Linked DNA regions of Struthio camelus. The protein of the gene in region 1 purifies or fractionates together with the protein of each later gene. This does not show direct contact. Links are inferred from orthologs where the notes say so. Each region holds a gene or a part of one and is shown on either strand. Other genes may lie near its edges. The genes, in order: XAB2 and AQR.

Region 1 (15,882 bases):
GTGTCCCCTCTCCGTGTCCCTCCGTGTCCCCTTTCCGTGTCCCCTCTCCGCATCTGGATCCCTTGCGTGTGTCCCTGTCCCTCCGTGTCCCCTCTCCATGTCCCTCCGTGTCCCCTCTCCGCGTCTGGATCCCTTGCGTGCGTCCCTGTCCCTCCGTGTCCCCTCTGCGTCCCCCTAAGACCCCTCTGCGTGTCCACGTCCCTCACGTGCATCTGTGTCCCTCCGTGTCCCCTCTCCACGTCCCTCCGCGCCCCCTACACGTGTCCGTGTCCCTCCGGGTCCCCTCTGTGCATCTGTGCCCCCGTGTCCCCGCTCCACGTCCCTCCACCTCCTCTCTCCGCATCCACGTCCCTCCGTGTCCCCTCTCCGTGTCCTCTGCGCGTGGCCACGTCCCTCCGGGTCCCCTGTGTCCTCTGCGCGTGGCCACGTCCCTCCGGGTCCCCTCTCCGCGTCCCTCCACGTCTCCTCTGTGCACCCGCGTCCCCTCCCCACGTCCGCCTCCCCTCAGCGCGTCCGCGCCTGTGTCCCCACGTCCCCTGGCCGCGTCCCCGCGTCCCCGTCCCCGCACCTTGTGCATGAAGACGAGGGCGCGCTCGTGGCAGTTGTTCGCCTCCTCGTAGGCCGGGTCGCTCACGCACTTGCGCTTCACCTGCTTCCGCCGCTGCTTCAGGTAGTTGTACCACAGCTTGTAGCTGCGGGCGAGAGGCACCCGTGGGTGCCCGAGCCGCGGCCACCAGCCTCCAAACCAGGTGACAAGCACCTATGGGAGCCCCCAAGTCACCACCACGGCCACGAGCACCCGAGCCACCACCATGCCCACAGCCATGAGCACCTAAACTGGCTGAGGAGCACCTACAGGTGCCCGAGCCACCACCACGGCCACGAGCACCCAAGCCACCACCATGCCCACAGCCATGAGCACCTAAACTGGCTGAGAAGCATCTACGGGTGCCCGAGCCACCACCACGGCCACAAGCACCCGAGCCACCACCATGCCCACAGCCATGAGCACCTAAACTGGCTGAGAAGCACCTATGGGTGCCCGAGCCACCACCACCATGGCCACGAGCACCCGAGCCACCACCATGCCCACACCCGTGAGCACCTAAACTGGCTGAGAAGCACCTACAGGTGCCCGAGCCACCACCATGGCCACGAGCACCCCAGCCACCACCATGCCCACAGCCATGAGCACCTAAACCGGCTGAGAAGCACCTACGGGTGCCCGAGCCACCACCATGGCCACGAGCACCCCAGCCACCACCATGCCCACAGCCATGAGCACCTAAACTGGCTGAGAAGCACCTACGGGTGCCCGAGCCACGGCCACGAGCACCCAAGCCACCACCATGCCCACAACCATGAGCACCTAAACTGGCTGAGAAGCACCTACGGGTGCCCGAGCCACCACCACCAACACGGCCACGAGCACCCAAGCCACCACCATGCCCACAGCCATGAGCACCTAAACTGGCTGAGAAGCACCTACGGGTGCCTGAGCCACCACCATGGCCACGAGCACCCAAGCCACCACCATGCCCACAGCCATGAGCACCTAAACCGGCTGAGAAGCACCTACGGGTGCCTGAGCCACCACCACCAACACGGACACGAGCACCCAAGCCACCACCATGCCCACAGCCATGAGCACCTAAACTGGCTGAGAAGCACCTACGGGTGCCTGAGCCACCACCACGGCCACGAGCACCCGAGCCACCACCATGGCCACCGCCACGAGCACCTAAACTGGCTGAGAAGCACCTATGGGTGCCTGAGCCACCACCATGGCCACGAGCACCCAAGCCACCACCATGCCCACAGCCATGAGCACCTAAACCGGCTGAGAAGCACCTATGGGTGCCCAAGCCACCACCATGCCCACAGCCATGAGCACCTAAACCGGCTGAGAAGCACCTATGGGTGCCTGAGCCACCACCATGGCCACGAGCACCCAAGCCACCACCATGCCCACAGCCATGAGCACCCAAACCAGGTGAGAAACACCTATAGGTGCCTGAGCCGCAACTACGTCATGCAACGGGATGCTCCTGTCACCTCTGTGCCATCCAAGGGGACATCCCTGTCACCCCACGTGAGGATGTCCCTTTCACCCTGCGCCCCGCGAGGGGACATCCCCACCACCCCGCGCCCCACGAGCGGACGCCCCCACCACCCCGTGAGGGGACGTCCCCGTCACCCTGCACCCTGCAAGATGTCCCCATCACCCCACGCCCCATAAGGGGGTGTCCCCGTCACCCTGCAAGGGGACACCCCCATCTCCCCGCGAGGGGACGTCCCCGTTGCCCCGCGCCCTGTGTGGGGACGTCCCCACCATCCCACCACCCCGTGCCCCACGGGGGACTGTCTCCATCGCCCCGCGCCCCACGGGAGGGGACATCCCTGTCACCCTGTGCCCCACGGGAGGGGGGACAGCCCCATCACCTCAAGCCCCACAGGGGGACCATCCCCCTCACCCCGTACCCCATGGGGGGACATGCCCATCAGCCTGCGACCCATGGGGGGACATCCCCGTCACCCCATGCCCCACGGGGGGGGGACATCCCCGTCACCCCGCGCCCCACGGGGGGGGACGTCCCCGCCACCCCGCGCCCCACGGGGGGGGGGGGGGACGTCCCCGCCACCCCGCGCCCCACGGGGGGGGGGGGGGGACGTCCCCGCCACCCCGCGCCCCACGGGGGGGGGGGGGGACGTCCCCGCCACCCCGCGCCCCACGGGGGGGGGGGACGTCCCCGCCACCCCGCGCCCCACGGGGGGGGGGGGGACGTCCCCGCCACCCCGCGCCCCACGGGGGGGGGGGGGACGTCCCCGCCACCCCGCGCCCCACGGGGGGGGGGGGGACGTCCCCGCCACCCCGCGCCCCACGTGGGGGGGGGGGGACGTCCCCGCCACCCCGCGCCCCACGGGGGGGGGGGGGGACGTCCCCGCCACCCCGCGCCCCACGGGGGGGGGGGGGGACGTCCCCGCCACCCCGCGCCCCACGGGGGGGGGGGGGACGTCCCCGCCACCCCGCGCCCCACGGGGGGGGACGTCCCCGCCACCCCATGGGGGGGTGACGTCTCCCTCACCCCGCGCCCCACGGGGGGGGGGGACGTCCGCCTCACCCCGCGCCCCACAGAGGGGGACGTCCCCGCCACCCCACGCCCCACGGGGGGGACGTCCCCCTCACCCCATGGGGGGGTGACGTCCCCCTCACCCCGCGCCCCACAGGGGGGGGAACGTCCCCCTCACCCCGCGCCCCACGGGGGGGGACGTCCCCGCCACCCCGCGCCCCACGGGGGGGGGGGGGACGTCCCCGCCACCCCGCGCCCCACGTGGGGGGGGGGGGACGTCCCCGCCACCCCGCGCCCCACGTGGGGGGGGGGGACGTCCCCGCCACCCCGCGCCCCACGGGGGGGGGGGGGACGTCCCCGCCACCCCGCGCCCCACGGGGGGGGGGGGGACGTCCCCGCCACCCCGCGCCCCACGGGGGGGGGGGGACGTCCCCGCCACCCCGCGCCCCACGGGGGGGGGGGGGGACGTCCCCGCCACCCCGCGCCCCACGGGGGGGGGGGGGACGTCCCCGCCACCCCGCGCCCCACGGGGGGGGGGGGGACGTCCCCGCCACCCCGCGCCCCACGGGGGGGGGGGGGACGTCCCCGCCACCCCGCGCCCCACGGGGGGGGGGGGGACGTCCCCGCCACCCCGCGCCCCACGGGGGGGGACGTCCCCGCCACCCCATGGGGGGGTGACGTCTCCCTCACCCCGCGCCCCACGGGGGGGGGGGACGTCCGCCTCACCCCGCGCCCCACAGAGGGGGACGTCCCCGCCACCCCACGCCCCACGGGGGGGACGTCCCCCTCACCCCATGGGGGGGTGACGTCCCCCTCACCCCGCGCCCCACGGGGGGGGGAACGTCCCCCTCACCCCGCGCCCCACGGGGGGGGGAACGTCCCCCTCACCCCGCGCCCCACGGGGGGGGGGGGGTGACGTCCCCGCCACCCCGCGCCCTGTGGGAGCCGTCCCCGTCACCCCGCACCCCATGGGGCCCATCCCCGCCACCCCGCGCCCCACGGGGGGGGGGACATCCCCATCGCCTCGCGGGGGGCCGTCCCCGCCACCCCGCGCCCCACGGAGGGGGGGCCGTCCCCATCGCCCCACCTGCCCGGCAGCTCCTTGAGGGCCCTCTCGTAGACGAGGTTGAGGCCCTGGCGCGGCCCCTTCTGCTTGGCCTCCACGTAGCGCAGCCAGCACTTGACCGAGAAAGGGTTGCGCAGGATCTCCTCCTCGTACTGCAGGTCCTCGTCCTCCTGCGGGGACGGCGCCGCGGTGACGCAGCCCGGCGGGGGCGGCCGGGGACGGGGACGCGAGGTGGGACGGGGACGCGGCGATACGCGTGTGAGACGGCACGGGGACGCGGGGACGGGGACGCGGGCGCAGCGATACACATGTGAGATGGGATGGGGACGTGGGGACGGGGACGCGGGGAAGCAAAAATGAGACGGGACGGGGACACGAGCACGGGGACATAGCGATACAGCTGCGAGATGGGACAAGGACGGGGGGACGGGAACATGGGATGGGGGCGTGGGGACGCAGACGTGAGATGGGACGGGGACACGGGGACGCAGCGATACAGATATGAGATGGGACGGGAACATAGGGATGGGGACACAGGGACGGGGACGTGGGGACGGGGACGCAGACGTGAGATGGGACAGGGACGACGGGGACATGGGGACGCGGGGACACAGACGTGAGATGGGACGGGGACACGGGGACGGGGACGCGGGGACGCGGACGTGAGGTGGGACGGGGACACGGGGACGGGGACGCGAGAACACAGATGTGAGGTGGGACGGGGACGCGGGGACGCAGACGTGAGATGGGACGGGGACGTGGGGACGCGGACGTGAGGTGGGACGGGGACGTGGGGACGCGGATGCAGACGTGAGGTGGGACGGGGGCATGGGGACACGGGGACGCAGACGTGAGACGGGACGGGGACACGGGGACGCAGACGTGAGATGGGACGGGGGCACGGGGACGCAGACGTGAGATGGGACGGGGGCACGGGGACACGGGGACGCAGACGTGAGATGGGACAGGGACGTGGGGACGGGGACGCAGACGTGAGGTGGACGGGGGCACAGGGACACGGGGACGCGGACGCGAGATGGGACGGGGGCACGGGGACACGGGGACGCGGACGCGAGATGGGACAGGGACGTGGGGACGCAGACGTGAGATGGGACAGGGACGTGGGGACGCAGACGTGAGGTGGGACGGGGCCACAGGGACGCAGACGTGAGGTGGGACGGGGACACGGGGACGCAGATGTGAGGTGGGACGGGGGCACGGGGACGCAGACGTGAGGTGGGACGGGGCCACAGGGACGCAGACGTGAGGTGGGACGGGGCCACAGGGACGCAGACGTGAGGTGGGACGGGGCCACAGGGACGCAGACGTGAGGTGGGACGGGGGCACGGGGACGCAGACGTGAGACGGGACGGGGACACGGGGACATGGGGACGCAGACGTGAGATGGGACGGGGACACGGGGACGCAGACGTGAGGTGGGACGGGGACACGGGGACACGGGGACGCAGACGTGAGATGGGACAGGGACGTGGGGACGGGGACGCAGACGTGAGGTGGACGGGGGCACAGGGACACGGGGACGCGGACGCGAGATGGGACGGGGGCACGGGGACACGGGGACGCAGACATGAGATGGGACAGGGACACGGGGACACGGGGACGCAGACGTGAGATGGGACAGGGACGTGGGGACGGGGACGCAGACGTGAGGTGGACGGGGGCACAGGGACACGGGGACGCGGACGCGAGATGGGACGGGGGCACGGGGACACGGGGACGCAGACATGAGATGGGACAGGGACACGGGGACACGGGGACGCAGACGTGAGATGGGACAGGGACGTGGGGACGGGGACGCAGACGTGAGGTGGACGGGGGCACAGGGACACGGGGACGCGGACGCGAGATGGGACGGGGGCACGGGGACACGGGGACGCAGACATGAGATGGGACGGGGACACGGGGACACGGGGACGCAGACGTGAGGTGGACGGGGGCACGGGGACACGGGGACGCGGACGCGAGATGGGACGGGGGCACGGGGACACGGGGACGCAGACATGAGATGGGACAGGGACACGGGGACACGGGGACGCAGACGTGAGATGGGACAGGGACGTGGGGACGGGGACGCAGACGTGAGATGGGACGGGGGCACGGGGACACGGGGACGCAGACGCGAGACGGGACGGGGACACGGGGACACGGGGACGCAGACGTGAGGTGGGACGGGGGCACGGGGACACGGGGACGCGGACGCGAGATGGGACGGGGGCACGGGGACACGGGGACGCAGACGTGAGGTGGGACAGGGGCACGGGGACACAGGGACGCAGACGCGAGACGGGACGGGGACACGGGGACACGGGGACGCAGACGCGAGGTGGGACGGGGGCACGGGGACGTGGGGACGCGGACGTGAGATGGGACAGGGACACGGGGACGCAGACGCGAGACGGGACGGGGACACGGGGACACGGGGACGCAGACGTGAGGTGGACGGGGGCACGGGGACACGGGGACGCAGACGTGAGATGGGACGGGGACGTGGGGATGCACACGTGAGGTGGGACGGGGCCACAGGGACGCAGACGTGAGGTGGGACGGGGACACGGGGACGCAGATGTGACACAGGGACGGGGACGACGGGGACGACGGGGACGCGGGGACGAGACAGGGCTGGGCCACGGGGACAGAGGGGAGGGGGCTGGGGACAGGCGGAGAGGAACGCGAGGGGCAACGGGGACGCAGCAAGGGACGTGACAGGGGACGGGGGGAGGACAGGCAGGCGAGGGGACGGGGACAGCAGGGGACGCGGGGGGGCGGGGGTGCAGAGGGGGCGTGGGAGGGGGACGCGGGCACAGCAACGCGAGGGGGACGAGGGCGGCGACGGGAGGGAGCGCGGGGCGAGGGGGGGGACGTGGGGACACCGGGGGGGACGGGGAAGGGACAAAGAGAAGGGACACGGGGACACTGAGGGCACAGGGGGAGGCGGGGCGGGGGGGGACACGGGGGGGACGTGGGGGGGGGGGCGCGGGGACACCGGGGGGGACATGGGGATGCAGGAAGGGGGACAAGGGGACACAGAGAGGGGACGCGAGGACACCAAGGGGGACACGGGGATGTGGGGAGGGGGACACGGGGGGCGTGGGGACACCGAGGGGGACGGGGGGACGCGGGGGGGCGCGGGGACACCGAGGGGGACGGGGGGACGTCCCAAAACCGGGGAGCCCCCTCTGGCGCCCCTCCCCCACCCGGGGTGCCCCTCCCCCACAGGCTCCCAAAACGGGGGGTGGGAGACCCCCGCCCCTCCCCCACCCGGGCGCCCCTCCCCCACAGGCTCCCAAAACGGGGGGAGGAGGGAGACCCCCGCCCCTCCCCCACCCTGGCGCCCCTCCCCCCACCGGCTCCCAAAATGGGGGGTGGGAGACCCCCCGCCCCTCCCCCCACAGGCTCCCAAAACGGGGGAGGGGTGTGGGAGACCCCCACCCCTCCCCCCACAGGCTCCCAAAACAGGGGGGGAGGAGGGAGACCCCCCGCCCCTCCCCCACCCTGGCGCCCCTCCCCCCACCGGCTCCCAAAATGGGGGGTGGGAGACCCCCGCCCCTCCCCCACAGGCTCCCAAAACGGGGGGGAGGGAGACCCCGCCCCTCCCCCACCCGGGCGCCCCTCCCCCCACAGGCTCCCAAAATGGGGGGTGGGAGACCCCCGCCCCTCCCCCCACAGGCTCCCAAAAAGGGGGGGGAGGGAGACCCCCGCCCCTCCCCCCACAGGCTCCCAAAATGGGGGGTGGGAGACCCCCGCCCCTCCCCCCACAGGCTCCCAAAAAGGGGGGGGAGGGAGACCCCCGCCCCTCCCCCCACCAGCTCCCAAAACAGGGGGGTGGGAGACCCCCCGCCCCTCCCCCCACAGGCTCCCAAAACGGGGGGTGGGAGACCCCCGCCCCTCCCCCACCCGGGGCGCCCCTCCCCCACCGGCTCCCAAAAAGGGGGAGGGGGGTGGGAGACCCCCCCGCCGCCCCCCCGGGGTCTCCCGCCCCCACTCACGAAGCGCAGCTCCGCCCGCCCCGCGCCCGCCGCCACCGGCGGCGCCTCCGGCTCCGGCATCGCCGCCGCCGCCGCCGCCCCGTCCCTCCCGCGCCCGCTTCCGGCGCGCCGCGATGACGTCACGCCGCGCCGCGCGCTCATTGGCTGCCGCCGCCGCCGCCGCTTCTTCCCCTCGCCCCGCCCTTCCCCACCCCTTCCGCCCCCTCCGCCAATGGGCGGCGCCGCTGCTCGGAGCTCGACCAATGGGCGGCGGGCTTGTTGCGGCGGGCGGGGGCCGGAAGCGGGGAGCGGAGCCGCCATGGGGGTGAAGCTGGAGGTGTTTCGGGTGGGTGAGGGCGGAGGGGGCGGGGGGGGGCGACAGGGCCGGGGGGGTGACGGGGGGTGACAGGGTCGTGGGGGGGCAGTGGGGGGTGACAGGGGGGTGACAGGGCTGGGGGGGTGACAGGAGGGTGACAGGGCTGGGGGGGTGACGGGGGGGCGACAGGGCCGGGGGGGTGACGGGGGGTGACAGGGTCGTGGGGGGGCAGTGGGGGGTGACAGGGGGGTGACAGGGCTGGGGGGGTGACGGGGGGGCGACAGGGCTGGGGGGGTAACGGGGGTTGACGGGGGGTGACAGGGTCGTGGGGGGGCAGTGGGGGGTGACAGGAGGGTGACAGGGCCGAGGGGGGGTGACAGGGCCGGAGCGGCAGTGGGGGGGTGACGGGGGGGTGACAGGGTCGTGGGGGGGGCAGTGGGGGGTGACGGGGGGGTGACAGGGCTGAGGGGGGTGACAGGGCAGTGGGAGGGTGACGGGGGGGTGACAGGGTCGTGGGGGGGGCAGTGGGGGGTGACAGGGGGGTGACAGGGTCGTGGGGGGGGCAGTGGGGGGTGACAGGGCCGAGGGGGGTGACAGGGGGGGTGACAGGACTGGGGGGAGGCAGTGGGAGGTGACAGGACTGGGGGGGCAATGGGGGGTAACGGGAGGTGACAGGGCTGAGGGGGGTGACGGGGGGGTGGCAGGGCCGGGGGGGTGACGGGGGGGTGACAGGGCCGAGGGGGGTGACAGGGCCGGGGGGGCAGTGGGGGGTGACAGGGGGGTGACAGGGCTGGGGGGGTGACGGGGGGGTGACAGGGCTGGGGGGGTGACGGGGGTTGACGGGGGGGTGACAGGGTCGTGGGGGGGGCAGTGGGGGGTGACAGGGGGTGACAGGGCCGAGGGGGGTGACAGGGCCGGGGGGGGCAGTGGGGGGTGACAGGGGGGTGACAGGGCTGAGGGGGTGACAGGGGTTGACGGGGGGGGTGACAGGGTCGTGGGGGGGCAGTGGGGGGTGACACGGGGTGACAGGGCTGAGGGGGGTGACAGGGCTGGGGGGGTAACGGGAGGTGACAGGGCTGAGGGGGGTGACGGGGGGTGACAGGGCCGGGGGGGACGATGGGGGGGCGACGGGGGGGTGACAGGGCCAGAGGGGGACGATGGGGGGGGTGACAGGGACGGGAGGGGGGCGGATAAGGCCGAGGGGGGCAGTGGGGGGGTGTCCCCTGCCCTGGCGGGTGACACTGGGGACATCCTGGGTGACACTGGGGAGACTGTTGTGCCCTGGCAGCGGTGACAGCGACACCGGGGGGGGGAAGGGGCTGCCCCACCCCGGCAGGGTGACACCAGGGGACATCTGACACTGGGGAGAGGGGGACTGTCCTGCCCGGGCTGGTGACGCTGGGGACCCCGGGACACGTCCTGCCCAGGCAGGGTGACACCAGGGGACATCTGGCACTGGGGGGGGGGGACCATCCTGCTCCTGTGGGTGACAGTGGGGACGCCTCATGAGGGCAGGGTGACACTGGGGACGTCCTGCCTGGGCAGGGTGACACTGGGGACATCCCACAAGCTCAGAGTGGCGCTGGGGACGTCCTCCCTAGACAGGGTGACACTGGGGACATCCCGCAAGCTCAGGGTGACACTGGGGACATCCTGCCCAGGTGGGGTGACACTGGGGACGCCGCGCGAGCTCAGGGTGATGTTGGGGACGTCCCGCCCAGGCAGGGTGACACCGGGGACACCCTACAAGCTCAGGGTGACACTGGGGACGCTGCGCGAGCTCAGGGTGACGCTGGGGACGTCCCACCCAGGCAGGGTGACACTGGAGACACCCTACAAGCTCAGGGTGACACTGGGGACGCCGTGCGAGCTCAGGGTGACGCTGGGGACGTCCCGCCCGGGCAGGGGGACACCGGGGACGCCCCGCAAGCTCAGGGTGACACTGGGGACATCCTGCCCAGGTGGGGTGACACTGGGGATGCCCCACGAGCTCAGGGTGACGCTGGGGACGTCCCGCCCGGGCAGGGTGACACTGGGGACACCCTACAAGCTCAGGGTGACACTGGGGACGTCCCGCGAGGGCAGGGTGACACCGGGGACACTCTACAAGCTCAGGGTGACGCTGGGGACATCCTGCCCAGGTGGGGTGACACTGGGGACGCCGCACGAGCTCAGGGTGACGCTGGGGACGTCCCGCCCGGGCAGGGTGACACCGGGGACGCCGCGCGAGCTCAGGGTGACGCTGGGGACGTCCCGCCCGGGCAGGGTGACACCGGGGACGCTGCGCGAGCTCAGGGTGACGCTGGGGACGTCCCGCCCGGGCAGGGTGACACCGGGGACACCCTACGAGCTCAGGGTGACGCTGGGGACGTCCCGCCCGGGCAGGGGGACGCTGGGGACGCCCCCGCGAGGGCAGGGGGTGCCCGGGCGCTGTCCCCGGCCCTGCGGTGACGTCCCCTCGTCCCCAGATGCTGCTCTACCTGTCCTTCCCCGTCAGCATGTTCTGGGTGTCCAACCAGGCGGCCTACTTCGAGGAGCACGTGGTGCGCAGGAAGGTGGGTGCCCGGACGCCTGGGCCCCCGCCGCCGGCGACGGTCCCCGGGGTGCCCGGACGCCTGGGCCCCTGCTGCGGGGGAGGGTCCCCGGGGTGCCCGGACGCCTGGGCCCCTGCCGCAGGGGAGGGTCCCCAGATGCCTGGGTCCCTGCTGCGAGGGAGGGTCCCCGGGGTGCCCGGACGCCTGGGCCCCTGCTGCGGAGGTGGGTCCCCGGACGCCTGGGCCCCTGCCGTGGGGGAGGGTCCCCGGGGTGCCCGGATGCCTGGGCCCCTGCCGCCGGGGAAGGTCCCCGGACGCCTGGGTCCCCACTGCGAGGGAGGGTCCCCGGGGTGCCCGGACGCCTGGGCCCCTGCCGCAGGGGAAGGTCCCCGAACACCTGGGCCCCTGCTGCGGGGGAGGGTCCCCGGGGTGCCCGGACGCCTGGGCCCCTGCTGCGGGGGAGGGTCCCCGGATGCCTGGGTCCCCACTGCGAGGGAGGGTCCCTGGGGTGCCCGGACGCCTGGGTCCCTGCTGCGAGGGAGGGTCCCCGGGGTGCCCGGACGCCTGGGCCCCTGCCGCCGGGGAAGGTCCCCGGATGCCTGGGCCCCCGCTGCGAGGGAGGGTCCCCGGGGTGCCCGGACGCCTGGGCCCCTGCTGCGGGGGAGGGTCCCCGGATGCCTGGGTCCCTGCTGCAAGGGAGGGTCCGCAGGGTGCCCGGACGCCTGGGTCCCTGCCGCCAGGGAAGGTCCCTGGACACCTGGGCCCCTGCTGCGGGGGAGGGTCCCCGGGGTGCCCGGACGCCTGGGCCCCTGCTGCGGGGGAGGGTCCCCGGATGCCTGGGTCCCTGCTGCAAGGGAGGGTCCGCAGGGTGCCCGGACGCCTGGGTCCCTGCCGCCAGGGAAGGTCCCTGGACACCTGGGCCCCTGCTGCGGGGGAGGGTCCCCGGGGTGCCCGGACGCCTGGGCCCCCGCTGCGGGGGAGGTCCCCGGATGCCTGGGTCCCCACTGCGAGGGAGGGTCCCTGGGGTGCCCGGACGCCTGGGTCCCTGCTGCGAGGGAGGGTCCCCGGGGTGCCCGGATGCCTGGGCCCCTGCCGCCGGCGACGGTCCCCGGGGTGCCCGGACGCCTGGGCCCCTGCCGCCGGGGAAGGTCCCCAGACGCCTGGGTCCCCACTGCGAGGGAGGGTCCCTGGGGTGCCCAGACGCCTGGGTCCCTGCTGCGGGGGAGGGTCCCCGGACACCTGGGCCCCTGCTGCGGGGGAGGGTCCCCGGGGTGCCCGGACGCCTGGGTCCCTGCCGCCAGGGAAGGTCCCCGAACACCTGGGCCCCTGCTGCGGGGGAGGGTCCCCGGGGTGCCCGGACGCCTGGGCCCCTGCCGCCGGGGAAGGTCCCCGAACACCTGGGCCCCTGCTGCGGGGGAGGGTCCCCGGGGTGCCCGGACGCCTGGGCCCCTGCCGCCGGGGAAGGTCCCCGGACGCCTGGGTCCCCACTGCGAGGGAGGGTCCCCGGGGTGCCCGGACGCCTGGGCCCCTGCCGCCAGGGAGGGTCCCCGGACGCCTGGGCCCCCACTGCGAGGGAGGGTCCCCGGATGCCTGGGTCCCTGCTGCGGGGGAGGGTCCCCGGGGTGCCCGGACGCCTGGGCCCCTGCCGCCGGGGAAGGTCCCCGGACGCCTGGGTCCCTGCCGTGGGGGAGGGTCCCCGGGGTGCCCGGACGCCTGGGTCCCTGCTGCAAGGGAGGGTCCCCGGGGTGCCCGGACGCCTGGGCCCCCACTGCGGGGGAGGGTCCCCGGGGTGCCCGGATGCCTGGGCCCCCGCTGCGGGGGAGGGTCCCCGGACACCTGGGCCCCCACTGCGAGGGAGGGTCCCCGGATGCCTGGGTCCCTGCCGCGGGGGAGGGTCCCCGGATGCCTGGGTCCCTGCTGCGGGGGAGGGTCCCCGGGGTGCCCGGACGCCTGGGCCCCTGCCGCCAGGGAAGGTCCCTGGATGCCTGGGTCCCTGCTGTGGGGGAGGGTCCCTGGATGCCTGGGCCCCTGCCGCGGGGAAGGTCCCCGGACACCTGGGCCCCTGCTGCGAGGGAGGGTCCCCGGATGCCTGGGCCCCTGCCGCGGGGGAGGGTCCCCGGACGCCTGGGCCCCCACTGCGAGGGAGGGTCCCCGGATGCCTGGGTCCCTGCTGCGGGGGAGGGTCCCCGGGGTGCCCAGACGCCTGGGCCCCTGCTGCAGGGGAAGGTCCCCGGATGCCTGGGTCCCTGCTGCGGGGGAGGGTCCCCGGGGTGCCCGGACGCCTGGGCCCCTGCCGCCAGGGAAGGTCCCCGGACGCCTGGGTCCCTGCTGCGAGGGAGGGTCCCCGGGGTGCCCGGATGCCTGGGCCCCTGCCGCCAGGGAGGGTCCCCGGACACCTGGGTCCCTGCTGCGAGGGAGGGTCCCCGGACACCTGGGCCCCCGCTGCGAGGGAGGGTCTCCGGGGTGCCCGGACGCCTGGGCCCCCGTTGCGGGGGAGGGTCCCCGGACGCCTGGGCCCCTGCCGCCGGGGAAGGTCCCCGGACGCCTGGGCCCCTGCTGCGAGGGAGGGTCCCCGGATGCCTGGGCCCCTGCCGCGGGGGAGGGTCCCCGGACACCTGGGCCCCTGCTGCGAGGGAGGGTCCCCGGACGCCTGGGCCCCTGCTGCGGGGGAGGGTCCCGGGATGCCTGGGCCCCTGCCGCGGGGGAGGGTCCCCGGATACCTGGGCCCCTGCTGCGAGGGAGGGTCCCCGAACGCCTGGGCCCCCGCTGCGGGGGAGGGTCCCCGGACACCTGGGCCTCTGCCGCCGGGGAAGGTCCCCGGACGCCTGGGCCCCTGCTGCGAGGGAGGGTCCCCGGACACCTGGGCCCCTGCCGTGGGGGAGGGTCCCCGGGGTGCCCGGACGCCTGGGTCCCTGCTGTGGGGGAGGGTCCGCGGGGTGCCCGGACGCCTGGGCCCCCACTGCGGGGGAGGGTCCCCGGGGTGCCCGGATGCCTGGGCCCCTGCTGCGGGGGAAGGTCCCCGGACACCTGGGCCCCCGCTGCGGGGGAGGGTCCGCAGGGTGCCCGGACGCCTGGGCCCCTGCTGCGGGGGAGGGTCCCCAGACGCCTTGGTCCCCACGGCGGGGGAAGGTCCCCAAGGCCACCTGGATCCCCTGGGTGCCATGAGATCCCATGGTTGGGGGGGGGAGGGTCCCGGCTGCAGGGGAGGGTCCCCGGATGCCTGGGCCCCCGCTGTGGGGGAGGGTCTCCCGGACGCCTGGGTCCCTCGGCCGCCCCCCCCCCCCCCCCCCCCCACCGACGCCGCCTCCTCTTCCGCAGAGGGAGATTTTTCCGCCGGACGACGCCAACCGGGTAAGACGCTGTCACCCCGTGTCCCCAGGCTGTCACCCCGCTGTGTCCCCCGTCCCCCCCCCAGCGTGGGTGCCGGTGGGGCTGGTGGGGGGGGGAACGACACGGGGTGGCTCTGCCCGGCCCCTACGGCTGCGCCGCGGTGGCCGGCGCGTCCCCACCCCCCCCCAGCCCCGTCCCAGCCCCGTCCCCGCGCGGTGCCACCCGTGGGTGTCCCCTGTCCCCCCGCAGCGGAGGCAGATGCAGGAGCTGAAGAAGCGGGTGCAGAAGATGCACGAGGAGAAAGTGCTGCGGGCGAGCCGGGACTGAGGGCGTCCCCCGTCGTCCGTCCCCCCCCCCCCCGGCGGCGGTGACGGTGGCCCCGTGCCAGCGCCGTCAACGGGGACCGAAGGGACGCGCCCCGGCCGTAGCGGTGACGCGGAGGACATGCCGCCGCCACCTGCCGCCGTGGGCACCTCCTGATGCCGCCGCTGGGGCCGTGGCGGTGACACCGTCGCCGTGGCCGTAGCAGTGACGGAGGGGACGCGTGGTTGTGGCCTGATGCCGTCACGGCGTCCTGACGCCACCGCCATGGCCATAACGGTGACGGAGGGGACACGTAGCCACAGCCTGACGCCGTCACGGCGTCCTGACACCACCGCCACGGCCATAACGGTGACGGAGGGGACACGTGGTTGTGGCCTGACACCGTCACGGTGTCCTGACACCACCGCCATGGCCATAACGGTGACAGAGGGGACACGTGGTTGTGGCCTGACACCATCAAGGTGTCCTGACGCCACCGCCGCTGTGGCCATAACGGTGACGGAGGGGACGCGTGGCCGCCGCCTGACGCCATCACGGCATCCTGACACCACCGCCACGGCCATAATGGTGATGGAGGGGACACGTGGTTGTGGCCTGACACCGTCAAGGTGTCTTGGCACCACCGCCATGGCCATAACGGTGACGGAGGGGACACGTGGCCACGGCCTGACGCCGTCACGGCATCCTGACACCACCGCCATGGCCATAACGGTGACAGAGGGGACACGTGGCCGCAGCCTGACGCCGTCACGGTGTCCTGATGCCACCGCCACGGCCATAACGGTGATGGAGGGGACGCGTGGCCGCCGCCTGACGCCATCACGGCATCCTGACACCACCGCCACGGCCATAACGGTGACGGAGGGGACGCGTGGTTGTGGCCTGATGCCGTCACGGCGTCCTGACACCACCGCCACGGCCATAACGGTGACAGAGGGAACGTGTGGTTGTGGCCTGACACCGTCACGGCGTCCTGACACCACTGCCACGGCCATAACGGTGACGGAGGGGACGCGTGGCCACAGCCTGATGCCGTCACGGTGTCCTGATGCCACCGCCACGGCCATAACGGTGACAGAGGGGACACGTGGCCGCAGCGGCCGCGTCGGTGACGGAGGGGACGCGGGGCGGCATCCCGTCCCCGTCTCAGCGTCCTCGTGTCATCGCCGCGGCCGTGTCCCGCTGCCACCGGCACGGCCACGATGGTGACGGCAGGGACACGCGGCCACGTCCCTGGCGGAGGGGACGTGTGGCC
Region 2 (16,031 bases), on another chromosome or scaffold:
GATTAAGTGATTTCAACAAGGTGAAAAGAAAAGAAAAAACAACAACAAAAAAAAAAAGAACAACCTGTCCCTGACTGAGCAATGGATGTTCAAATCTCCTGCTCACCTGTGACTTCACAGGGTAACTAAACTCAGGGAACAACTAGACACTGGGAAATTGCAGCTTCACAGCAATGGGAACTTTTCTCTTCATTAATATGACACTTTTTCATAGAAGAAAACTGCAAAATTAGAGTGCAGAGATGAAAGAAAATTTGGAGCGAGAGTCTCCCTCCTTTAACTTTTTATTGAAGTAACTATGCAGGATGGTTACTCCTGAAGAGGCAATCCGTAAGTCCATCATCTACAACGGTGCATTTATGCCATGTGCTAATTTAACATCTTGTTGCTACCAGAAAGGGGAACATCCTGCTCCTTCCTAAACCTGAGGCTGCCCAGCCATTCCTTCCTCTTGACACCAGCTCTAACATTTGTTCGGCTCCTCAAGAGCCGACTCAGTTTTCTAGCATGGCTAAAACACCTATTTACTTTTTTCACAGCTTATTTTTCTGATGCCTTGCAGAAAGCTAGTTCAGTCCTTTCAGATGAGACCAGTACCACGGACAGCAAAAAGAAAGGCAGCGAGAGCAAGGCTGTAACCGGGAGCAAAGGACTCAGTAAGAGGCGACACGCATTTCTGCTTTCTGGAACCTCAGTCAGAACGTGTAGCTTCCGAAGGAGCTGAGAGAATTTCACAGGTGCGTATACAAAATGAAACGCATAACACTTCCCAAGGGCTTACGGAACTGGGTAGAGCGCTTGGATCTTCAATAGGAGGGGAGGAAAAAAAACACAAAAAACCCAAAACGCCATACTTCATTTCACCCAAGGACAGCAGTAAACTTCAATATATTTTAATAAAAATAACCTTAAGCCCCTCAAGTAAGAAAAAATGTACATGAACTCTATAATGAAATCTAAAAAATAGGGCAATATCTCATATCTGTGAAGATAGGAGAGTTTGAAATTGCAAGAGGGATAATGAGGGAAAAGAAAATGACTTACAGGACATATGGCAGCAGATGGGGCTATATACCAAAAAGTACTAGCTACATTCAACGTTACATGTTGATAACATGAAGAAAGAGTGTTCACAGAAAAGATTAAAATGCTAGCTGCACATTATTTCTTTGTATAGATATAAACTCCAGGACAGTCACGCTACCAGCATACCATTTGTCTTTGTCAAAACCCACAAACTCTATTTTACGTTTTCCCTGCCACCTTTTCCATTAGTAAAGTATGAAATGGAAGGAAATACCAGTGTCATAAATGAAATACTAAGTATATCCTACTTTTCTAATTAGTGGAACTACTTACACATTTCAGCCTTCACAAAGAAAGCATCCATCCTAGCCAAACACCATCTCATTCTATCTGCCCATAAGATTTGCGATAAAACAGAGCCAAATAAAAGACTAATTACTGTGTTTAAAGACATGTAAATATTGCATATATGTATTTTACATGATTTTACACATGTTTTATGATAAGCTTCCAGAAAAGTTTAAAAGTATCTTAAAACTGTTTCAAACAGATTTCCATTTCTTTTCAGGTGAAGAAAATTTCAGTGATACTATTGCAGAACAATTCTCTTTTTCCCCTTGCTGTAAGAGACACAATGTGAAAACTTGCACCGACTTCAGTGAATTCTGATTTAAGGCTTAATGATGCATCCTGAATTATGGATCCAAGTTTATCACCTGTTTCAGGTATATTAGGTTCTTCTTTAGTGCTAGCAATTCATTTACATTAGAAATTTAGAGTCATAAAGCAAGACCTTCAGCATGTTATTTATGCTTATGAAACTATTCCTTCCTCAAATGAAGTTCTCTTCACTAAATTTGCCTAAGCACCAAACTCGAGGCTTTAGTATGTAGGAACATATGAGTATACCACCTTCAAATTGATTTACTGTTCTGCATTCATTTCTCATGTTTACTTTCACCTGTTGCTACAGAAAAATACCTTAAAAATTCACTCCAAATAGCTTACCTGAACTCAAGAAGCATTATCTTCCTAATAGCAAACCTGAAGGGGAAGGAAGAGGGGGAAAAAGATCAATCAATCAACACAAAAAAAAAGCCTCCACGCCCATCTTAGCTACATGGAAAATGACTACCTCTTCCTTTATTTGGTTATATAATGAAACCTGTACCATTCATTTAGAAGATTTTTTCCCCCCTACAGGTTTTATGCAAGAGCAACCACTTGAATGCAGAAGCCACTCCTGTAACTTCTACACTGTGGAAGCTAGAAGTTCATGTGTATTCATTAAGGAATCAATCAACAAGTTCACATAAAGGCATCCATCTAGACCTTTTAAGTATGAAGATACCACTTCCAACAGTCTTTAAGTCACAAATCACTAGCAGCTGAGAGTGTTCTGGGAAACCATGACTGGATACTTGATTGGTTCCTACATACTGGCTATTACATAACGGTATCACTTCTTAGTCACTGCTCCAAACCTGCATGGCAATTCTTAAATTACTTTCATAAAACAATCATAAACTGAATTCTCTCCAGAGCTGAAACCTCCCCTGAAGAACTGGAAAGAAAGACAGCTATTACTACAACTCTCGTCTGTATAGCAGCTGTAGAATATAGTTTAATGTGACATTTTGTCTCCCCTCTCTAACACTGCAATTGAATGGAATAAGACTTGAGCAGAGGAGCGTGTTGCTGCTAGCTTTTAACTGATCTTTTCTGTACATAACTGGGTGGCAAAAGAAGGGCCCAGCCATATAACCATTGTGACAACAAAAAAAATAAAACAACACACATCACCCACGCAAGGATTACAACAAGCAGAGTAACAGCTTAAGGAACCAATTACATCCAACCCTCATATTTAAGGACTGTGAGCTCGTGAGTTTTCTTTTTACCCCATTTGGTCTCTGAAATGAGATATCATCCATTAAATGGCTCAAATGTGCTTGAGTTATTTTCATCTTAGTGTATTTTAAAGTAGTTCAATAAACATTTAAGACCATTTCAGTAGAGAAAACGTTGGAATACTTGTCTGTTAGTGACGTACTTACTTTGACCTGACAATTTCTTTTGCATACACATCTTCAATAACCTATGGGAAAGAATATTTCAAAAGGAATTTTAAGAAGTTTACATATTTAATGACATGATTAAAAATACATTCAAGTATTCTATGCACTCAAAGTTACTCTGAATTAGTTACTCTCTGTGTAATGCTATTTGGTCAAAAATGTCATAACAGATATGTCTCAGTTCTGAGGAGACCAAAAGCTCCACAGACAGACATCCGCACTAAAAAAATTAATCAGCTAAGGGGAATAAAAAGCACACGATGGTAGAGAACTGATAGGACCTTCATTCAAGTTATTCAGAAGGAACAACCTACACCTCACTGAGATTTGATACACAAGTCAAACAGCTATGTATACCTTTTTATGGCTCATCTTTGGTCTATTGCTGAATTTAAAGAATAGTCTTGAAGATTCAAGTTTGTATCACCCCAGGCATCAATTGCCACTGTTTCTTATAACTGACCAAATCCACACTGTTCTATATTTTCCAATAGGACTGAAAGAACTGTAGACAATTCATCTGCACTATCTGTTGCGGTAGGCACATTCTGATATCACATCTGCTGTCAGAGTTGTAATTTAGCTGATCATCTACATTCTAGCTCTAACAATCACAGATGCAAATATTACCACAAACACTGTAAAGAAAGTGGGTAAACTAAGGCAAGAGAGGACGGTTAAGCCAAATATCCACAAGGGAATGAAAACTAACATTTGAGAAGCCTGCACTACAGAAAACCAACGGAGAACCAAAAACATTATGCCAAATTTTAAACATTCACAATGCAGGTAACCACCAAAACACCACTTCAGTTCTCTGATCAAAACCCTCTGAAGAAGTTTTTAAAAGGAACCCTTACAGCTTAGTGTTACCTGCATCTTTGGTCCTTCTTTGATTTCTGACAGTGCCCCCTTCTCAAACATCTTTTTCTCCCTCACAAGCTCTCAAGCTAAAACGAACAGAATAAATAGCATGCAAAAGAACTGCACTGCTATAGCGCATCTTCAGAACGGTACCTATGTGTATAAACCACAAACAACTTAAGCAACAGCTAATAGCGTGCTAAGCAACTGTTGACTTTCCGAGTAGTCTCCTACACCCTTACAAAAATAAGCATCAGTTTAGCATGGCAGAAAAGTATTGCTTCTTATTCTTTTACAGCGCGGTACAATACCACTAAAAATATTTACCTTTGAATCAAAAGGCAACTTTTTCTTCACATGCGGAGCCCAGTATTTGTTTGCTAACTGTAAGGAAAAAAACAAGTTTGAAATACATTAAACAAACACACTTTCAGTTGTCATATGTTGTTCTATATAACACTCTAAACACTTTGGATTTGGCTGTGTATTTCCCTAGTTTCTTGCTTAATTTCAACTTACAGTAACTACATACAAACGTTATGTTCTCCAACAACAATAACTTTCAACTATTTAAGATTCTGTGCCTAAAATCTTTACAATAAAGGTGTGATGCCTCATAAAAGTTTCAGTTGCACACAGTGCTGTACTACAAAAGCAAACCTGTTTTTCTTAAGTTTCCCCTAGCAAATCCCTGAAAAATCTACAGGGATCTTTCAGGAGGCTGCAAATCCCTCTATTGAAACAAGTAATCCCACATGAAAAATTAAGACTTCAGAGAACTCTAAGCTTGTACACTTCTGAATCAGACTGAACTGGACAAGCAGCTGCTGCCAGGCTTTTTTATACAATGCAAAGATTAGAAAATTTTAACTAAATGAGTACACCCCACTAAAAAAACCAAGGGCTATATGTAAAGCTCCAATATTTCCAAACTATTCACTGTAGCTATTCCCTTTGTTGCAACAAAACTATTGAGCTATGCTGCCAAGGGCTGTCTTTATTGAAACTTATTTATGTGGTTGAAAAGAAAGCAAAGCAGTATTTTCAGTATAAAAAAAAAAAAGCTGTATAAAACCACTTAGAACACTGAACTACAAAAAATTTCATACAGTTTTTTGTGTACTATGACAATCCTCATTTATTTTGTAACATTCCTACTTTTTTTCTTCAAGTCTCTCTAGCCTGAAAACTCGTCGGGCACACACTCTGCCCTATGTAATCCAGGTCTAAAAAAATACCTGCTCGCTTGCGACAAAGCTAAACCCTTTTTCCCTAACACCGCAGGCTGCAAAGCCCGTTTATACAGCGAGATCGTAGCCACTGGGGCCAACGATGAAACAAGTTCTGCAAACGCAGAAGGGAGCCGGAGCGGCCTCACGGAGGCACAGCGCGGCCCGGCCCGGCACGACGCAGGGCGGGCGGGCGGGCGAGCTCCGCCAGGCCGCACGGCCCCGCGCAGCTCCGGCTCCGGCCCGAGGCGAGCAGCCGCCGCCGCCCGCCTCGCGCGCGGCCCGGCTGTTACCGGCCCGGTGACCAGCCAAGCCGCTGGCGCCCCGCGGCCCACCAGGCACCCAGAGCTCCCCCGGCCCGGCCCGGCCCGCTCCTCCGCCGGCCCCACCTGTGTCACAAACTCCGCGTTGATCTGCGACACGGTGGGCGCCACGATCTTCTTCGGCGGCGCCGAGGCCGCCGGCGCCGCCATCGCGCTACGAGCCCGCGCCGCCTCGCACGCGCCGGCCACGCCGCGCTCTCGCCCCCCTCGTTCCCCGCACAGGTGGCGTCGCCGCTGTCCCCTTGCTTCCCCCCCCTCGCCGCCCGGGAATGGCGTGTCCCGAACACGGGCTCGCGCGCCCAGAGCGCCGGAAGTGCGGAAATAGAAAGCGGAGCGGAAACAGCGGCCGGGTGACGGGAGCCGAGCGCGGGGGGCGGGGGGAGGGCGCGGAGCGCTTCCGGGGCACGGAGCGGGCTAGGGCGGCCGCCAGGCGGGGCGGGGCGGGGCGGGGCAGGGCAGTGGCGCCGCCGGGTCCGCCGGGCAGCGGGAGGGCCGCGGGGAGGGGGGAGGAAGCTGCAGTGGGCGAGCGGCCACGGAGTGGGGTCAAGGGAGAGCTGTGACGAGGCCGTGAGCCCCGGAGAGCCGCTGTGGCCCGCCTGGAGCTTCGCGACGTGGCGGCCGCCGGGAGCGGGGCGGCGGTAGCGGCCCGCCGCGGACAGCGGGCGGAAGGCCCCGTGCCGTCGCCAGCCTCCGCTCTGCCAGATACGGGATGTAAACGTGGTGGTTCTCAGCGCGCACTCGGGCGCGCCTGTGTGGGAAATGCCTGTGCGTCGGTTTTAGGCGCACTGCCCAAGCGAGATTAATTAGCCTGGGTGCTGCCATACTTGGCTGCACGTAGCAGTAGTCCAGACTAACGTGTCCGTATTTACAGTCCCTAAAATACTTCTGGCAGCACCAAAATGCATGGAGAAAAGCCTAGAAGGGAATACTGAAAATGTAGGTCAAGGCTCTCGGACGATTATATTTGGGTTTTTAAATTTTTTTTTTAATTTATTTCCCTGTTTGCTAGTGTTGTTTCTGTAACATAAATTATGCATGATTATGCAAGAGAAATAGCCAAAAGCTAGTTTGATAAAACCAAAGCTTGTCCCAAAATTACAGGGAAAGACTCTAGACAATGGATACAGTGATGACAGTGAAGTATAACATTTCAGACAGACTGCAGAGAGACCCAGAAGTAACTTAGGAACTCATCTGAAACTTTGAGGTGGGAGCAATTTGGTTATCAACGTTATCAGCCACACGCTGGCAGCTTATTGTTTCTAATTCTTTCCTATCCATTATCTGTCTGAGTTGGAGGTGTTCATTCTCTACCACCTTGCAGCTAATGATACAGGTAATCTGTATGAGGTGGTAAGAAAGCTCCTCTTTTGTTTTTTTTTTCTTAGTTTTCTGCAGAGAGGCAGTGGCAGTTTTACCCCTGTCTTGCTAGGTGGATAGATAAGTCTTTACTACGTTTCGGAGTCACTCTTAAGGCCTGTATCCAGGCCAGACTGCCGTGCTACGTCATCCCAATAGTGTTGCCGTATGACTAGGCCTAGATGAAGGCAGAGGCTGTGCCTAGAAGCACGTGTGACTCAGTATATTAGTACATTGCTAGGAAAACCTGAAAAAGCTGTTCAAAAGACTGCCGTCTGAAAAGACTGTAAAGGCAGAGGCACTTAAGAACACGTCAGGCTTATGGTTGCCGTTATGCCTGCTCTTCAAATGCTATATAAGTATACCTAGTGACTACTGCTGTTATTATTTAGAGCAAAGGTTTCAGTCCAAATACTATACAAGAGCTAATATGGAAAAGATCTGTTGTTAACATCAAACAAATGCCACCAAGATCTAAGCATAGTGCATGTTGTTTCATATATAGATATATATCTATAACATGGAAAATCTGTGGAGCAGAGGAGAGGCAAAAGGGCGAGAAGGGAAAAGTACATGCTTACAGAAACCAGCAATTTGGTTATGATTTAGAATGGTTTGCAATTAACTTATTCTATTTAGTAAACAGATTAATTAAGGAGGAAATTAACATAATCCCTAGAGAAGTTACAGTGCTTTGTTTCTGTGCTCATTATCCAGCACCTGCCACTTGAGTACTTTAAACTTCCAGGCAGATATCATTGAAGTCTGTTTGAATATGACCTCCTTTGTTTTGATATCAAGGTGATCTCCATTTCATTTCTTCAAGAAGAGGTTAAACTAAATATTCTTTTTGAAGTTGAATTAGAATGTACAGTGGGAACGGAAAAAGTAATGACAGTATCTCGACTAGGATCAGACAATGGCTGCATTCAAATAAATACACCTATTCCATTCCTGTGCTTTGCAAGATCCAGAAAATCTAAGTTCGCTATATGAAAACAGGTAAAATCAAAAAGTTTTCAAGAGCTAGTGATAATAATTTATGTAAACAACAAGGATTGAGCACTATCCAGTCTAATAATTAAAGATATGCAAATACAAAGCAATTAAAATACACTTAAACCAATGTACTCTGACATTTAAACTGTGATGAAAATCAGCAAAAGTCAAATGTTTTGATTTAAAGTAATCCACCTAGAGGCTGCAGCTTCATGATTGACTTAGGTTTATCTAATTCTGTACCGACACCTAAACAGGCGGTTACATTTGAGCTTTCTCCATTGCTTTGTATGATTGCTAGCACTTGCATTCCTGGACAAATGTAAAAAACATAAGTACAATTTACCTATGCTCTAAGCTCGCTGGATGAGCCTTGTTAGCATGTTGGTGTACCTTAGCCAATAAGTTGGAGAGAACACTGTTAAGTAGTAGCTTCCAGAATTAACTTCCCCTATACCTAACCACCTCAGAAATGAACATAGATAGCTTATGTTTGCATGTACCGTAATGAATAGTAATATAACAGTTTATCAGTTTGGCAAAAGGAGAGTACTTCTACTGCCCGTAAGTAGATTCGAGGGGTAAATGGCAGGAAGAGAAGGAACTACTGAAGGAACAAATCGGTGCTGAAAAAGAGGGCAAAGGAACAAAAGCTACGTACAAACAGGCTGAAAATAGGAAGGCTTCTAAAAATGGCTTTCAGGTGGGAGCCGTAAGTTTAACTTATGCTTAAGACATGGTGTGATATGTTTAGGAGAGATTAGGTAATGGTTACTTGGGATCTCAGTTGATAGTATTTTATGACCTTAGATTTCTTTTCCAGTAACATGCATTAAGTGTCACCAATGCAGCCTACCTCTCTCTCTTTTTTTTTTTTTTTTTTGGAACAATTACCATGCCAAAAGGTAGGCAAGGCAAATAGATTTTGGACTTGGGCTGGTAAATTTTCCCAGATGGTCTTGCATGGCTAAGTTAAATTATTCCAGCTGTCCAACAGTTGGCTTCTGTTTATGATAGATCATCAGTCTGTGAGTGTTAAACATCTCTCAGAAACCTTAGATTTCCGTATGGTATCTAAACTATGAAAGCTCAAGGAGGAATCTGTATTTACCTAACTTTTGGCCTTTGGGTGTCCCAATGAGGAGGTTAGTTGTCCTAGATTTCTCTGCAGTCAATGTAGAGTCAGAGACCCTTCCAGAAGGCACATCAGTGCTCATGTAAATGCTCTGACTCATTTCCTGGAGGAGCCTCTGCTGATAAAGAAAGCTAAAGTTCGATGCCTACTGTTAGGCAATATGATTACATCCCTTGATGGCAATGCCAAGTAAAGTGGTAAAGATCTCCTCCCTACAAAGGATGCGTTAAATATTAGTCTGTAAGGGACTATTGTTTAGTTACAGAGTACAATGATGGTAGGACTATAAAAGAATATCAAAAGTATTAAGTAATGCTTTGGCAAGATGTACTTCCAAGTATCAAGAGCAGCTGAACCTTTGAAGAGGAGTTGTGGTGAGATCAGACATACTGAGATCAGACATACTGGTACCAGTGTGGTGCTTATGTCCCCACCTGTGACTCACCCAGCTCACAACTGTCTGTTAAGACTGCTACACTCAGTTTCTCCCAGAGTGGAGGCATGTCTGTCACTCTCCACCTTAAAATGCTTTGTAGTCCAGGGGAAAAAGGAAACGCTGCACTCCGTCTTCCCCAAAGCCTGCTGTGAACTTCCCGATCTTTCTGTACTCGTTGACTTAATGCGTCAAGAAAATTAAATATTCTTTCTCTTCAAAAATCTGTTAATTCATTCATGAAGACATATATTATTTAAAAAGTCACATATTTGAGGAGATGCAGTTTTCAAGACTATTATTCATTTCCAGGCTGCATATATTATTGGTCAATTTATATTCAATGCTGCTTTCTTGCTTAACTAGCCCTTCTGGTTTTGGATGCTTGCCTTTCTGTGTAATTGTACCTAGCAAAAATATTCTCTTCCACTTTTACTTTGTAAACTGTACAAGCCAAGGTCATAAGCTGGCAATGTGATGATTTTCTAGCAATAAGAACTCAAAAAAAAAAAATCCATAAATCATTCTAATATTAATTGTGATTGCTTTAGGTTTTTCAGTGTGACATGAATTAAAGACAAATTCTGATGTTTTGGCCCTCTAAAACTTAATTCAATAGTTTGATGACGTTTCTGTGAGTCAGAAATTTCTGAGCTTATGACTTGGCTGTGTTGCTGACCTTTTATATGTTGATGCTGTTATTTAATTATTAACTCATAAAGCAAGAGCATTCTCAATTTGCAGTGTTTTGGATTTTGCACATATTGTGTAAGGGGTAAATATTCTTCATTCACTTTTAGTAGAAAAAAGCCTCAATAATATACACCTATGACACTATTTATAAATACCACATAGTATTTTAAAATTACAGCCTATTTTCACTCCATTTTCAAGTCATACTAATAGGGTTGTCAAGCAAACAGTCACCTGATTGAAGACTGTGGAGTTTTGCTAACTGGAAACATATTTTTTAATTTAAATCCAAGCATAAGCAGTCCTGTTAAAGAAGTCAGATGCACTAAAGTAGGAATAAAAAGAAACCATACAATACAGACATTAGTTGCCATGGTTAGAGAGCCAGAGGGACTCTTCTTCTAGCCTCTCTGAATGTACTCTAGAAGTGCTCCATCACCTTTTTCAGGATGTAATCTCTCTGGACTAAAAGCGAAATCCCAAATGAGGCAGAAAGCTCCCTAAAGACTCATGGAGCTCAGGCAGGGGCTGACGTTCCTGTGCTAGGTTCTCCACTTTGGTTGTGGAGCAATCAAGCTTTAGAAATTCACAATGGAGGTTGCAGACAGCAGGTGGACTTAGGAGTTTTAAAGGAGGAATGTGTATCCTTTTAACTTCCAAACTTCTCCACTAGAAAATACTCAGGGGGGCAGCCTTGACTAGGTTTCACTTGAGATATTAACCAGGTTAATTAGGATTATTTCTAGGGGTAAGAACCTAAGGCAGTCCTACTGTTGGGGCCACAATACTTACCTACCGATTAGAATGCTTCGCCAGTTGAACTAGATTCTGCACCTTATATTTCTAATATAAAAATTGTTTCACTTTTCGCTGTTCTTCTTTCACACAAATCCTCCAGGCACTTATGCTTTGAGTCTTATATCGCTCAAGCTTCTTAGACATTCTAAATAAAGCCTCCATTAGGAGATGCAGGTTCCACATGAATACCCTGTTGCACCTCTATAAACTCTAGTGGGATAGCTTTGTTCCTGAGCAAGCAACAAACACCACCACTTCCCTGCATAGGCATGTGCATTCTAGCCACCAGATTCTTTCAAAATCATAAACAGGCAACAGCTGACTGCTACCCTTCTAAGCAAACATTGTGCTAGGGACAGAGGGTACCCCATATGCTGCTGCCTGGTCACTGCAGCAGAGTAACGGCAGTTTACCTAGCTCTTTGATGATTTGGAATTACACGGTGGCTGCTGTGACAACTGCCTGAAATCCAAGCAGCCAGGGCAGCAGAGCTGTTGGAGAGTCCCCTAACAAGATGTAATTGAGGATATTGGAAGTTTCTTGCCTGAGTGGAGAGTGTGCTCCCTCATTGCTGAGGATCTACTGGCAGCTGACCTGCTGTTCCACCGGTAAAAGTTGAAGCTAGGCCTAGAGTTCCAGTGCATGATGTCTCCCAAGGCTTTGGTGTGCTTTATTTCTTGATCATGATGCCGGGGTGCATAGACCTCTTCCTTTCAGTCATTGAATATAGCTGTACTTCTGCTCAGCTGTAGTTGCTACTCTTTTCTATTCATGTTGAATGCCTCTAGTGTTTTTTTTTGGACCTTGTGGTCCAACATAACTCAGAGGCAAAGGGAATGTCTACATTCCTTTTTCCAAAAGTGATCTGTCATTGTTCTGACAGTGAATTCATCTGTATGCAGAAAGGGAAAAAGGCAAGGCAGAGAGGGAGACAGCTGCATTAAGCTTTCCCAGTGAACAACTTGGAGACTTAAAGGTATCTAGGTGGTTGAGGTGAGTTAATAAGAGTCGTGCTGCTTACGATGAAGGTCTAGATATCTAGAGTGCATCTCACTGGTATACGATTTTTTTTTTTCTGGCCTAATACAATTGCATTATACTAAATACATAAGCTTAGCTTTAGGGGAAGTATCTAACTACACATTGGATACCTCAGCTTAGGGCAGGTGCATCCCAGCCTGAGTGACATAAGCCATCTGTTTAGTGGCCTTTCTGTGAAGCAAGACTGTAAGGCTCAGGAGACTTCAGCTCTTTAAAATCAGCTTTTATCTCTAGCTTCTTGACATTTACACATAAGCACAAGTGTTTTGAGAGGTATCCCTCTGAGGATCTCCAAAATGGAAAGCTCCAGACATGAGAAAGTTCAATAGGATGGTCTCATCATGCATATTTACAAACTTGCACATGCAGCTTTTCTTTTAACCAAAGAAGGAAAGTGACTATAAATGCGCAGCATTTTGAGGTATTAATTGCAAAGCTAGATGATAAGTTTTGAAAGGAGATGGTGGCATGAAGGGCATGGAAATGGAATAATACATACACTATTCAAAGAAGACCAGGAACCTCTTCTGTCTCTTACCTGTTCAAATGATACATCAAATACTTTGATTTTACCTGATCTCAGGTAAATAAAATTCAGAAAGCTTTTCAAAAAAGATCACATGAATCTTCTAAGATGTTAAAAGTTTATTCCTTATTCCTTTGGTTATGATATATCTTTCATAGCAGTTAATGTTCACATAAATTAAATGTTCTGCCTGTTCATTATAATTTTAATTCAATCTCATCATATTGCTTTTACTATTGTATTTATGTGCATTCTTTTGCTCCAAGACTCTGTTACTGTGTTCATCTCATTAAATATGGGTACCCACTCAGTAAATATGTGTACTTTCAAATATGTGTACTTCCACTCAGTAAATATGGGTACTTTCAAAAATGATGCCTCGGTTTAGTAACAGATGCTTCTTAAAATATTTAGAATTTTAAAGTGTAAAGAAGCCGTCAGTAGCATTCTGATTTGTGTATAAATATTTATTTAGCACACGTTCTGGCCAATGTACTGCCCTTGATTTTTGTGCAAAACTTACAGTAACTTCAATGGAAATTCTGAGCTCATGACTAGAGAAGAATATGGCTAATTCAGCAACCCAGCTGCTTTTGTATCCCAGAATAGCAAGCAATGCCTCCAGTGAAGGAGGTGGGGAAATGAGCCTTAATATCCTTCCCAGCTTTCTGTTGTTGGGGACACGTTTGGCTACCAGATCAAGTTAGAGCAGTCTTTGGGCTATTCTAATTCTCTTCAGAGATTTTTAGCGAGATTCCTGTCAACTGGAGCAAAACAGTGGTAAGAACCTAAGAAGCCAGTGGCCACTTCTGAGCGCTCCAAAAATATATGCTAGAAATCCTGTGGGAGGCAGTTATGTGATAAATTTCCTATGGGGAAATTTCTTTCTAGATACATAGCACAGCTTATCCTTTTTAAATGTATAGTTTTTAGCTTTTCAAAAATTTCTTCTTTTCTTGTTTAGTATTTACTTGTACTACTCTAGCTCTCCCAGAAATCAGGAATTAGTAGCAGAAATACTGTATCTAGCAGGAACTCTTCACTGGTAGGAAAATCACCTAGACAACCTCTTAGTAAGCTTCGTAGAACTGTTAAGTCTTACACAACGTGTGAGTAGAAAAAGCTGTTCAGCTACTCCCGTTATCACAAAACATGATAATATTTCAGAATGACCTTTCAAAGTAATATGACTTTGGTTTAGTTATGTATATAACTGGCTATACATAAGCTCAAATATCCAAAGATAAGACCTCATAAGTTTAAGTATTTAATTGAATATATTACTCACATACAACTACATTCAAAATCATTACAGTTGCAAAATAAGCACGCTTTAAGAAGCATCAAGCACAAAGTTTCCAGAGCAAGTTTAATTTGCTTTTTTGGATATGCATTATATTGTTCTAAATGACAGTACACCAAGCAGAGAGTTTTCTGATAATGAGCTCCTCCCTGTTAAGTGTGCAGCTCTATATATCTTACCTTACTTGCTGCATGCTATTCAAGTGCTGTTCTGAATTACTGATTTCCTTTGTTCTTTTCTCAAGGAAAATTATTAGCTATATTAGCTGAGTACTATGCAAATATTAGCTAATTCTATTTTTACAAAATCTGTAGAACGGTAGTATTGTCCCCATTATAATGAGGGGAGATTGGAATGAGCTTATGGTAGGAAAAGACTCAATGACAGCTGCTTAACTTTAGATGCAGTGCTTTACAGTATATTGTAAATTCAAGTACAGTGTCCATTGACTTCAGCTGAAGCTATAAGAAGACAGTACAACTACAAGTCACAGAAAAGGTCTTAAGCTTGTTCCCAGAAAGAGAGGAACAAACACTTAGTGACAAATTGCAGGAAGTCTTCTTCATATGTTTTGCTTAACATTGTGTTAAGAACTTTTCAGCAAAACTAGGGAGAGGGTCTAGTTTTTAGAGCAACATTCAGTCTTAGCAGACTTTCCCTTTCTAGTTTGGCAAGTTTCATGCCATTATTATACACTTGCTTATAACAGAAGGCAGTTCTACACTAACATCCAGATTTTTGTTCTCAGCTATTGGTAAAACGTGTCCATGACGTTTTCTTCGGCAGCTCTGTGTAATATCAGGCAAAGAGCTAATTTTTTTTTTGCCTTACTATTTGCTTTCTGCGGATTCCTAAACTCTGTATTATAAGCCTTAATGTTTTTTGGCTGTGTATTAGCCAAAATGACATCCAGTATCAAAAGATAAAACAAGGCTATCTTTCTTAACCGTCTTGACATCATAGGCTCAACTTTTTAGGGAAGCTTTTCACCTTAGAGAGCACCTGAATTACATATACCCTGAAGTCAGTAACCAACTCAGGTGGTTTCCTACCATCCCGGTCAAAGGAGCTCTGAGGTGCCTTAGACAAAAAAACCCAATAAAATGTATGCTGCTTGATGCGTTTGCAGAAGCAATGCTAACAATTCAGCATTGCAAGCGTTGTCCCTCCCAAGCTACAAATCCACAGCGTCAATCCCCCCCCCAAATATTAATGTGAGATATATCTGTCTGATGGAACTTCATTGCTGAAATGAGATTCTAAGACAAATCATTTCCCTTCTACTAGTGCCAGCATGAGGAGTGTTATGAAAAGTTAAATTTATTTGCAGAATCACTGGAAAAGTAGATGCTCAAGCACATATTTCTCACAATATAAGAAAAAATACAGATTGTAGAGAAAGCTGAAGCTTTTCTAGTACACAGCATAAAACTTACCAAGAGAGAACAATTCTAAGATGCTGAGAGGTATCTCCAGTTGTCTTGTAGCTATGCACAGGATTTCTTAACAGATACCCACATACAGCTTTCATCCTTACCTTTGCCCATATTTTCTAGGCTTTCAGTAGGCATTTCCATTAATATGGCAGGATTTTAAGAGAGAACAAAATGGCAGTAAAACAGCACACTTACTGAAAACAGCAAAGTTGATACTGGGGTAATACTGAAAAACAATTTCTTAACTTTTAATAGTTTCTCTTATTGAAAAAAACAACTGTGACATAAACTAAAACATTACAAAACAAGTATTTATAGCTCATTGGCAAAAAAAAAAATTTTCCCTGTGGAAATTGCAGTATCAGACACGTTATTGGATGCCTGAGGGAATTCTTACGATTCTGTGCTCTCTGCCTTAGTAGCTGCTATTCTTAAACACAGAGTATAAAATACAAGATAAAGTGCATTACAGCAAACCAGGTTGCCAAGATACTAATCCAGGGTAGCTTTCAATGTAATGAAAAAATCATAACGTGTTTCGACTTTAGAAAATAACTCCAAATTGACTGAGACACTTGAGGTGGTCTAGCAGATTTCTGCTCAGTTTAATAGGACTGTATCATTACAAATAGTAAGCTCTCTGCTCAGTTGTATTTTCATGATCCTGTCTCAAAGTCAAAATAAATACAAATTGAGGACATCATCTGAAGTTCAGTACCTCAGCTAGCTAGTTTGGAAAACACATACTAACAACCAAAACTTACACATAACAATGCAAAGTTGCATAC

Evidence for each region.
Region 2: the proteins of XAB2 (region 1) and AQR fractionate together in Homo sapiens (co-fractionation; 3 studies listed by BioGRID and IntAct, with this or other methods). This does not show direct contact. The link is inferred for Struthio camelus from reciprocal best matches to the Homo sapiens genes XAB2 and AQR.

Annotation. Positions count from the first base shown.
Region 1 is NC_090972.1:3,509,144-3,525,025, reverse strand, and holds the start of XAB2 (pre-mRNA-splicing factor SYF1), read right to left. Parts: upstream 8,239-15,882; 5' UTR 8,205-8,238; coding exon 8,145-8,204; intron 4,308-8,144; coding exon 4,159-4,307; intron 761-4,158; exon of another isoform or gene 693-760; coding exon 569-692; intron 1-568. Other genes in the region: protein PET100 homolog, mitochondrial, read left to right, coding at 8,443-8,469, 10,908-10,994, 14,292-14,324, 14,553-14,630. UniProt on the Homo sapiens protein: Involved in pre-mRNA splicing as component of the spliceosome. Involved in transcription-coupled repair (TCR), transcription and pre-mRNA splicing.
Region 2 is NC_090946.1:50,541,147-50,557,177, reverse strand, and holds the start of AQR (RNA helicase aquarius), read right to left. Parts: upstream 5,868-16,031; 5' UTR 5,671-5,867; coding exon 5,587-5,670; intron 4,353-5,586; coding exon 4,296-4,352; intron 3,125-4,295; coding exon 3,084-3,124; intron 2,071-3,083; coding exon 2,035-2,070; intron 1-2,034.